Coturnix japonica: one gene and its partner. The protein of the gene in region 2 purifies or fractionates together with the protein of the main gene of each other region. This does not show direct contact. Links are inferred from orthologs where the notes say so. Each region holds a gene or a part of one and is shown on either strand. Other genes may lie near its edges.

Region 1 (3,706 bases), on a different chromosome or scaffold from region 2:
GTACGGAGGCTGTGGGGTTTTTTTGTTTAAAATACAACGCTAGAGGTAAGAAGTTGTTTCCCATGTTCCTCCTATAGAAGGGCATTGACACAAAGGGCTGAGCTAACAGCTCAGGTGAAAGCTGAGGACCACTCTGCATCCATACATCTGCTGGGTGACCTAAAGGATGCAAATGGAGCTTCCTGCTTTTAGCAATGCCTGATCAAAGAGCTTGTTGCTGTCAGTACTGCAGCAGAAAGTTCAGAGGTGGCTTTGCATGCTACCCCTCATTATACACACAGCAGCTTAGAGCAGCTGGATTCAAGACAGCTCATCTGTTCTCCTCCCCTCAGTCTGTAAAATGAAGCTCATACTCGCTTCAAGAGGACTTGTAAGGATGCAGGCACATGCAGCATGCTGCTGTTGAACATTCAACATCATCACTTCACACTGTAATTCCAGTGACCACTTAGTTTTCCCAGCCTTCACCAGCCTACAAGAGAAGGCACTGAGGCGGACAGTCGTTACTTTTCACTGCCAAGGCCAATTGAGCTCGGTGTTGTAGGAACAGAGGAAACAATAAATGAGATACACCGTACAAACGAGCTTCATTTTTAACTCCTCCAGGGTGGACAAACCAGGAAGCTGGGACTGAAAGACCTTCCTAGAAAAGCAAGCAGAGCATGAGTTTCACGTGTTTACCATTTCTAGCTCCTCCACACGCAGCTGCTTGCGGCACTTCAGAGATACCCTGTGCTCCTTGGCGTCCTGCAGAGTGTCATTGCGCACCGTTGTGCTCAGACAGATCACAACATCCACCCTGCAGAAAAGAAGAAAGGTTTTTAACCCACGTATACTTCACTTTGCTCAGCCACAACTGAGAAATGAACCCCAAGGATCTACATATCTACGTGTCTATTGGGACACCTCTGTGTGGAGTAATGGGATCACAATTAAAGCCCCTAAATCTGATGATATCTAATGGCAGACTAAACCAACAGATACAGTAATATACTGAACATCCCAACAAAGCTCCTGGCCAGCAAGACCTGTGCTCTTCAAGCCACTGAGCATCTCAGAAAAGCCAAACTACAACCATTAACCTCAGAAATACACAAAGGTAGATATATCTACCTATATGATGATCAGAGGGCTGGAGCACCTCTATTATGAGGAAAGGTTGAGGGAACTGGGCTTGTTTACCTTGGAGAAGAGAAGGCTGCAGGGAGACCTCATTGTGGGCATCCAGTACTTGAAGGGAGTGAATAAACAGGAGGGAGAACGGCTGTTTGTGAGGGTGGGCAGTGATAGGACAAGGGGGAATGGACTTAAACTGAGCCAGGGGAGGTTTAGGTTGGGTATTAGGAGGAAGTTTTTCACCCAGAGGGTGGTGACGCACTGGAACAGGCTGCCCAAGGAGGCTGTGGATGCCCCATCCCTGCAGGCATTCAAGGCCAGGCTGGATGTGGCTCTGGGCAGCCTGGGCTGCTGGTTGATGACCCTGCACACAGCTTTCTGTCCTGCCCTGTAAAACCTTTGCACGCAACTTTCTGCCACATCCACACAGTTAAGCTGCTGCCTGCTGCGGCACAACATACTTTTTTTTGATGTTGGGGCAAAGTTTCAGCACATCCTCCTTGCAGGCCATTTTGAACTTGTAGGAGAACCTGAAGTCTTTCATTTGAACCTGCAAGAAACGAAAAGAACTGAGAGATGTTGGTCACCTGGAGAACAGTCGTGAAAGAACACTCAAGTGAAGCAATTAGCAAACTCTTCTGGCCAAAACTTATTCTCATGGATGTCACAGGGATGCTGCCCCACTGAAGAAACAAGGACCTCGCCCCACACCACATGCCAGGGGGAGGAGGTTTGGAGAAGAAACCATTCCAGAAGTGACCACCAATGCCCAGGCACACAAGCACAACCATCTGAATTCACAAAGGCAAACCTCAGTATTGTTGGAAAGCAATATTAAAAAAGGAAAGGGTTTCCTAATTAGCTCATTCCTGCCAACACCCTCAAATGCAACCAGTTTCCACCGATAGAAAAGCGCTGCTTACCAGCTGGAAGTGAGTAACTCCGATTGCACATTTTTCATTCATTTCCTTCTGGTGTTTGTTCTGTATCAAACACTCCATCAGGTCCCCGGAATCAATCTGGTTATCTGCAACCTCCTGCAGGACAGACAAAAGGCTTAGAAATGAGCTACCCTTACAAGATGGGGTTTTCATGCTCTTTTAGCCCAGTGCACCCACAAGTAACTGAGAACAAGGGGGTTTACACATCTCTTTTGTGAGCACATACTCCCCATACACTGACCATGTGAGTGTTAAGAGAGACAGCTCAGAGAAGAATCATCCCAGATGTATACACACTCTAAATTCAGAGCATAATGCAGAGCTGCAACGCTCACTTGAGTTACTAAGTCAGGTACTCTCACTGCTTGTTAATTACTCAGTCCTAGAGCAATGTAGGAAGCTATTTCAGCATGGTGAGCAGAGGAATGGCTCAGCTCACTGCTTGAGGCAGGAGGGAAGAATAAAGTTTAATTTCCGATCAATTGTGAAAAGTAACTCCCAATTACACGCCAATATTAATCTTCAAACTCCAGCTTCAGTGCTACACCAAAAGCACTACACGGAGCTACAAAGCCTTGTTGGAGGGTTGATGTTTTTTTTCCCCACTGAGCACTTTTGCTACTGCTTATTTCTGCTTTTTCCTTTGAAACGCAGAAAGCACGGCAAGAATATTAAGATCTAACCTTTCCCACAGAGCTCCTTCCCAAGGATGCTGGTACTGAGTACTCACGTGGCAGAAGGTCTGGATAATGGGCTCACACGCTCTCATCAGCAAAGCTTCGATTTGAATGTCCTGCAGAAAACACACCACGTTTCACTTTCACATCATTTGTTCAGACACAATCCAGACAGCCTCACCCTTTGGTTATGGGAATGCCTATGGTCCCAACCATGCAGTAAATGCAAGACAAGCCTTCCAGCTTAAGAGAACATCCTGGTTTCCACAGGTAACAACTCACTGCTTGGATAATCCAGCCAGTTTCCTCCAAATTGGAAACTCCAGCATTAGAAAGCATCCTACACTTAGGCAGGAATTAAAGACTAATGATAGTTGTGAGCAAACCATTTTGTAACCATTGGAAGGAAGCATACCCTAGGGCTTAACTTTGACTAAGAGGTACAGGAAAAAGTTTGGGACAAGATATTCAAACATGCAGCTTCATGAAATAAGCAGAGCTGCTGGCATCAACAGAAAACTGGATGTCCTCTGTGGCAGTTATTGCTTGCAAACTATGTGGGGCCCAGAGGGAAGCTGCAATGTGGTACTCAAAATTACTTGCAAGAAGAACAAAAAAACAAAGTCTCTGAATATATTTTGACTTGTACTAAAGGTGAGCTACCTATACAAAGCTTCTTTACCATAAGCCCTTTTGGGCTGCTAATGGTATTTCTCCTGCTTGCAACCCTTACCTCTTGCTCAGTTCTGTTCCTCAAGGGCTCCCCGTGGAAGGCAACAACATACGGGGTTAAAAGGAGAGCAGTGTTTTTCTATGCTTAACCCCAGACGTGTGTTTCTGCAGCCACCCTTTTATTTTTCAAGTACTGTCAAAATGGCACATTTAACCCCATTGCTCTTCCCTTCATCCCAGGCTGGGAACTGCTCACCTCAGACTCCAGCTCTGTCAGGTTCCCCACTATGTCTCTGCAAT
Region 2 (4,421 bases):
CAGAATGAAAATCTCACTTTCCAAATGCCACTTACCATCTGTCAAACACTTCTAGTTCTCTAGGCTTTTTTTTATGCTACCATATACGTTACATCTGCAACAGATTTCCCTGTTGTAGAGTACAGATGGAATAAAAGATTGTTTTATAACAAACACAGCAAAATACTGCAGAATTCAAACTGTGTACAATCCAGAACAAGCTACTCTAAGCAGAACACATCTGACTAATGTATCTGCTGTTAATCAGCACCCTATTGCAAGAACTGTTTCCTAAACATCCCTCAGTTTATAAGGTTCAGTGCTGCACATATACCTTCCTCTTAGAGGTGAAGGTCAGTCCCTGAAACACCTTCAAGTCTACAGTATGAAATGACCATATAATGAATTAACAGAGACAAACTACTGGAAATATATGCAACTTGCTATTACCATGAGCTGGCCAAGTGCTTCTTTTAGATAAAGCCACAAGCAGCTGCTTCTACAGAGTTTAAATTGACTTTTTAGGTAGAGAATCCATTTCCTTGACCAGAAATTGAATTATAGAAAACATCTCTGAAATGATGCAGATTGTTTAAGTCAGGGCTCCAAAGCAAGTGTATGAAGTAACGACATCTTTTCCCTTTAATTCCAAAGATTGTGAAAACAAATACTAATTTTTCATAGGAAATAACCTTTCTTGTACTGTCTGATTGCAATTAGACCTTCTGACATCTGAAAAACCTGTAAAAGCCACACTAGCCTCAATATCTGCTCATACCTTTTCAAGGAAAGCAAGAGGCCCTTCAAGTGGCTCCAGCTGTAAACCCTTCACTCTGTATTAGTGGAAGAGCTGTAGCAGCAGAGGGAAGGAAGGAAATAAACCTACTGGCAGTAAACAGAGAGGTTATCAACTTTATCCACAACACAACAGCAAAAGAAATCACTCGAGCAAATCCAGACGCAGCCCTCTGAAAGGAAACAAAGCCTTCAGGAAAAATCTTCCTTATCCCTCGGACTCTAAAAGACAGACTGCTGACACACACAACAAACAACTATGTGTTGTTAACTATTACTACTATTGACTGTAACTATCTCTACATGCCTTGTAATAAAAGTTAACTAGAAAGGCAGCCTAACAAAATAGAGAAGTTTTACTAATTCAATATCAGCATGAGCATAGAATAAAGGAAGGGGGCCCATTTGGAATAGTTAACTATATGATGTCATGTGTTCCCCATATCAAGTTTATTTTCTGTTCCAAAACAAAAGCCCACGAGACTAACATGAGAAATGATTTGGCAGATAGCCTGACATGACAGAGATTTCATAGCACATGGGGGACGAGGGAGAAACCCCCTCTGAAAGTTACACAAGAGGTGTCAGAGAACAGTTGTGTGTAACGCAATAGGGAGGCAGGTGGTGGGACAGCCACCGGGGAAGAGAGCCAAACCAGCAGCACAGTTGATTAAATGTTGGCAAAGTGCTCCACACAAAGATTTACCAGAGGCAGAGGGAGCTGGAGCACAGCTCCATAGGGCACAAGCATGCATCGGTTCTTGTACTGGGTGGCAGCATGAGCATTTCCTTCAAAGAATGATAACAGGCAAAATAAAAAGCTGGATGCTTACATGTACTGCATTCCTTCATGCTTTTATCCATCAGTTCAACACAATATTTATCGCCTCCAAAACACAGCAATCCTAAAACTTCAATTTTCTACTAATTCCAGCACTTCGGCTCCATTAGGAGTAAACCCCTGAGGTAATACGGTAAGATACAATGAAAAACAACAAGCATATCAGCCTGCCTTTCCCCCCGGTTCACTTCCCAGTAAGAAGTACACAAGCCCAATAGTTTTTCCCTCAGCCTCAGTAAATTGTTCCTTACACAGTAAAAGTTAACAAGTTCAAACAAACATTGATGACAATTCAAGCACAGAACACAAAGTACACGCAGAAGTTCAGTGCTGTGCATAGACACGAGAGCTGCACGGTCACTTTCTGAGTTCATTGTACAGTAATTTGACAGGAAAGCGTGTTTAAACAGGGCCCTTTCCCTTAACCAGAGGAAAAGATAAACATATATCGCTTGTTGTATTCTAAGTTACACCTCTTTCAGCAGCTCACTATACTTACAGCACCCACACAACTCCCCACCAACAGTTAAACCAGCGCCCACAACTGAGCAGCTCTGTGCTTCAGTTTTGAAACAGACTGCGTTAAGTTAGCGCTCAGAAAGGAGCTCTAAGAAAGTTGTTTGCTCACAAAGCAAACTGCTTCAAAGCTCAGGAGCTGTGATGCAAAACCAACACGATACCCAAGCAGCAAACAGCCTCAGCAGCTGGCAGGGAACTCTGAAATGGAGCAGAATGGAGGTACCAGGTGTCAGCAGCACCAGGCGCTCTGTAAGGCAGATGTGTCCGGAGCTGCGCTCTGTGCCCAGTCCCACCTCTGACATCGGCCGTGAGCTTCAATTCAGCACCCACGGCTCTTACCACAATTTCCACCGTCAGGTAAACACCGAACGAGCACCAGCAGCGACCCAACTGCGTACCGGCGATCAATAGATCCGTATTGCCCGTACTTCGGATTAAATGACTGAAGTTAGGAAAACTTCCAGGTGCACCCTGTGGGGCACCCTGTGGTGGGGCACCCTGCGGGACCCGCAGCCCGGCGGCAGCCGCCACCCCCGGCCGATCGGGCGGCACCGCGGTGCCACGCAGGCGGCCCCACCGCCCGCCGACGGCCCCTCCGCCGCGCAGCCCCGGCGGAGCGCTGCCTCACCTTGTCCCCAGAGCCGGGTCCGGACGGGAGACACAGCTCGGCCCAGCCGGGAGCGGGAGAGGCACCGGGACCCCTCCCCGCCCCCGCGCCGTCCCCGCCCCTCTCGCTCCGCTGCAGCCCCGCCCTGTCGCCGCTTGATCCGCTCATCCGCAGCCGCCGCCATGGCGAGAGCGCAGGCGCCGCCTTGTCATGAGGGTGTCGGTGGTGGCTCGGGGCGGGGGTGGGAGCTGCTCGTCACCATGGGGACGGGAGGGAAATGGCCGCTAACGGGGAGAGGATGGAGCGTTTTGGGGCAGCGGGGGTTGGAAGGGAGCTCTGGAGATAATCGAGTCCTTGCTCAAGTGGATCCCCTGCAGTCGCATGGCGAGGCCTCCCATAGCCCGTACTAGGCTCTCCGTACTAGGAGAGTGGTTAGGCCCTGGAACAGGCTGCCCAGGGAGGTTGTGGATGCCCCGTCCTTGGAGGTGTTCAAGACCAGGTTGGACGGGGCCCTGGGCAACCTGATCTAGTAAAGGTGTATGTTTGGTGGCCCTGCCAGGCAGGGGGGTTGGAACTACATGATCCTTGAGGTCCCTTCCAACCCGGGTCATTCTGTGATAGCAGGATTCTCCACAGTCTGTCTGGGCAGCCTGTTCCACTGCTCCATCACCTTCACGGTGAGGGAGTTCTTCATGTGGAATTTCCTGAGTTCAGTGTCCTCTTGTAGCAGTTTTAGCCATGTATGTGTTGGTAATATAAACCCACAGCGCATAGATCACGTTGTCATGTTTAAAATAAAACAAATGCACACCCCAGGTTTTCATCGCCTGCCAGTTGCTATAACTGGGAGCGGCTGCAAACTGCTGAGCAACTTTGGAAATGCTGAGCATCCTCTTTCCACTTATGTCAAGAGGGATGGCTGTCAGTACAGACAGAAGACATGTGGTGCCTCCAGTGCTGCCCAGCTGACCAGTGGCACAGAAACTGCCAAAGGATGAATGCCTCCAGCCCGGAAAGTACAACTTCAGCTCCATGTATTTTTCAGTGTTATTACGTGTCAGTGTCTCCAGGAGCCCATTATCTCCGGCCCATGTTCCACTCACGGTCTTTTCATTCTGCTCCTCAAATAGGCAGAGTTAATTAAAAGGCTGAGTATCCTTCCAGCAGCTCTTCTTTTTCTTTCAGGTACATCTGTAGCAATATCTCCAGCTGCAGAAGGTTGCTTTTCCCCTCAGCTGTTAGGTACAAAATGCCAAAGAGAAAAAACAAACAAACAAAACAACAACAAAGTGCCTGAAATCTCACAGAACAACCATGGGCAAGTCACGGTGTCGGATGTGTGAGGAACATGACACCGGGCAGTCATGGCAGCTAGGAACTGCTATGTGTAGCAAGCATACCAGCTGAATCCATGCTGCACTCTTTGCCTCTCCTGGAGGTCACCAGTAAACTCCTCTTACTCATCTCTTAGAGTGCCTTCTTAGCATTACACGTCTTGTATTTCAATCTGCACTAGGAGGGGAGGCTGACAGCATGCCAAAACAACAATCCTTTATGGAGAAGCCCAGTTCTCTGATCACATGGTGTCAGCTGAATTGAGTAAATGCCAACATGGGTTTCACTAGGTTGTGCAAACCTGGGTTGCATCACAGAAATTGTGTTCACACACCTCTTATAGCA

Evidence for each region. The genes of interacting proteins can lie anywhere in the genome.
Region 1: the proteins of OSBPL8 (region 2) and GLG1 purify together in Homo sapiens (co-immunoprecipitation; 3 studies listed by BioGRID and IntAct, with this or other methods). This does not show direct contact. The link is inferred for Coturnix japonica from reciprocal best matches to the Homo sapiens genes OSBPL8 and GLG1.

What each region holds. Positions count from the first base shown.
Region 1 is NC_029526.1:834,375-838,080, reverse strand, and holds part of GLG1 (Golgi apparatus protein 1), read right to left. Parts: coding exon 3,663-3,706; intron 2,851-3,662; coding exon 2,788-2,850; intron 2,154-2,787; coding exon 2,040-2,153; intron 1,667-2,039; coding exon 1,578-1,666; intron 800-1,577; coding exon 682-799; intron 1-681. UniProt on the Homo sapiens protein: Binds fibroblast growth factor and E-selectin (cell-adhesion lectin on endothelial cells mediating the binding of neutrophils).
Region 2 is NC_029516.1:34,572,405-34,576,825, forward strand, and holds the start of OSBPL8 (oxysterol-binding protein-related protein 8), read right to left. Parts: upstream 2,889-4,421; 5' UTR 2,763-2,888; intron 1-2,762. UniProt on the Homo sapiens protein: Lipid transporter involved in lipid countertransport between the endoplasmic reticulum and the plasma membrane: specifically exchanges phosphatidylserine with phosphatidylinositol 4-phosphate (PI4P), delivering phosphatidylserine to the plasma membrane in exchange for PI4P, which is degraded by the SAC1/SACM1L phosphatase in the endoplasmic reticulum.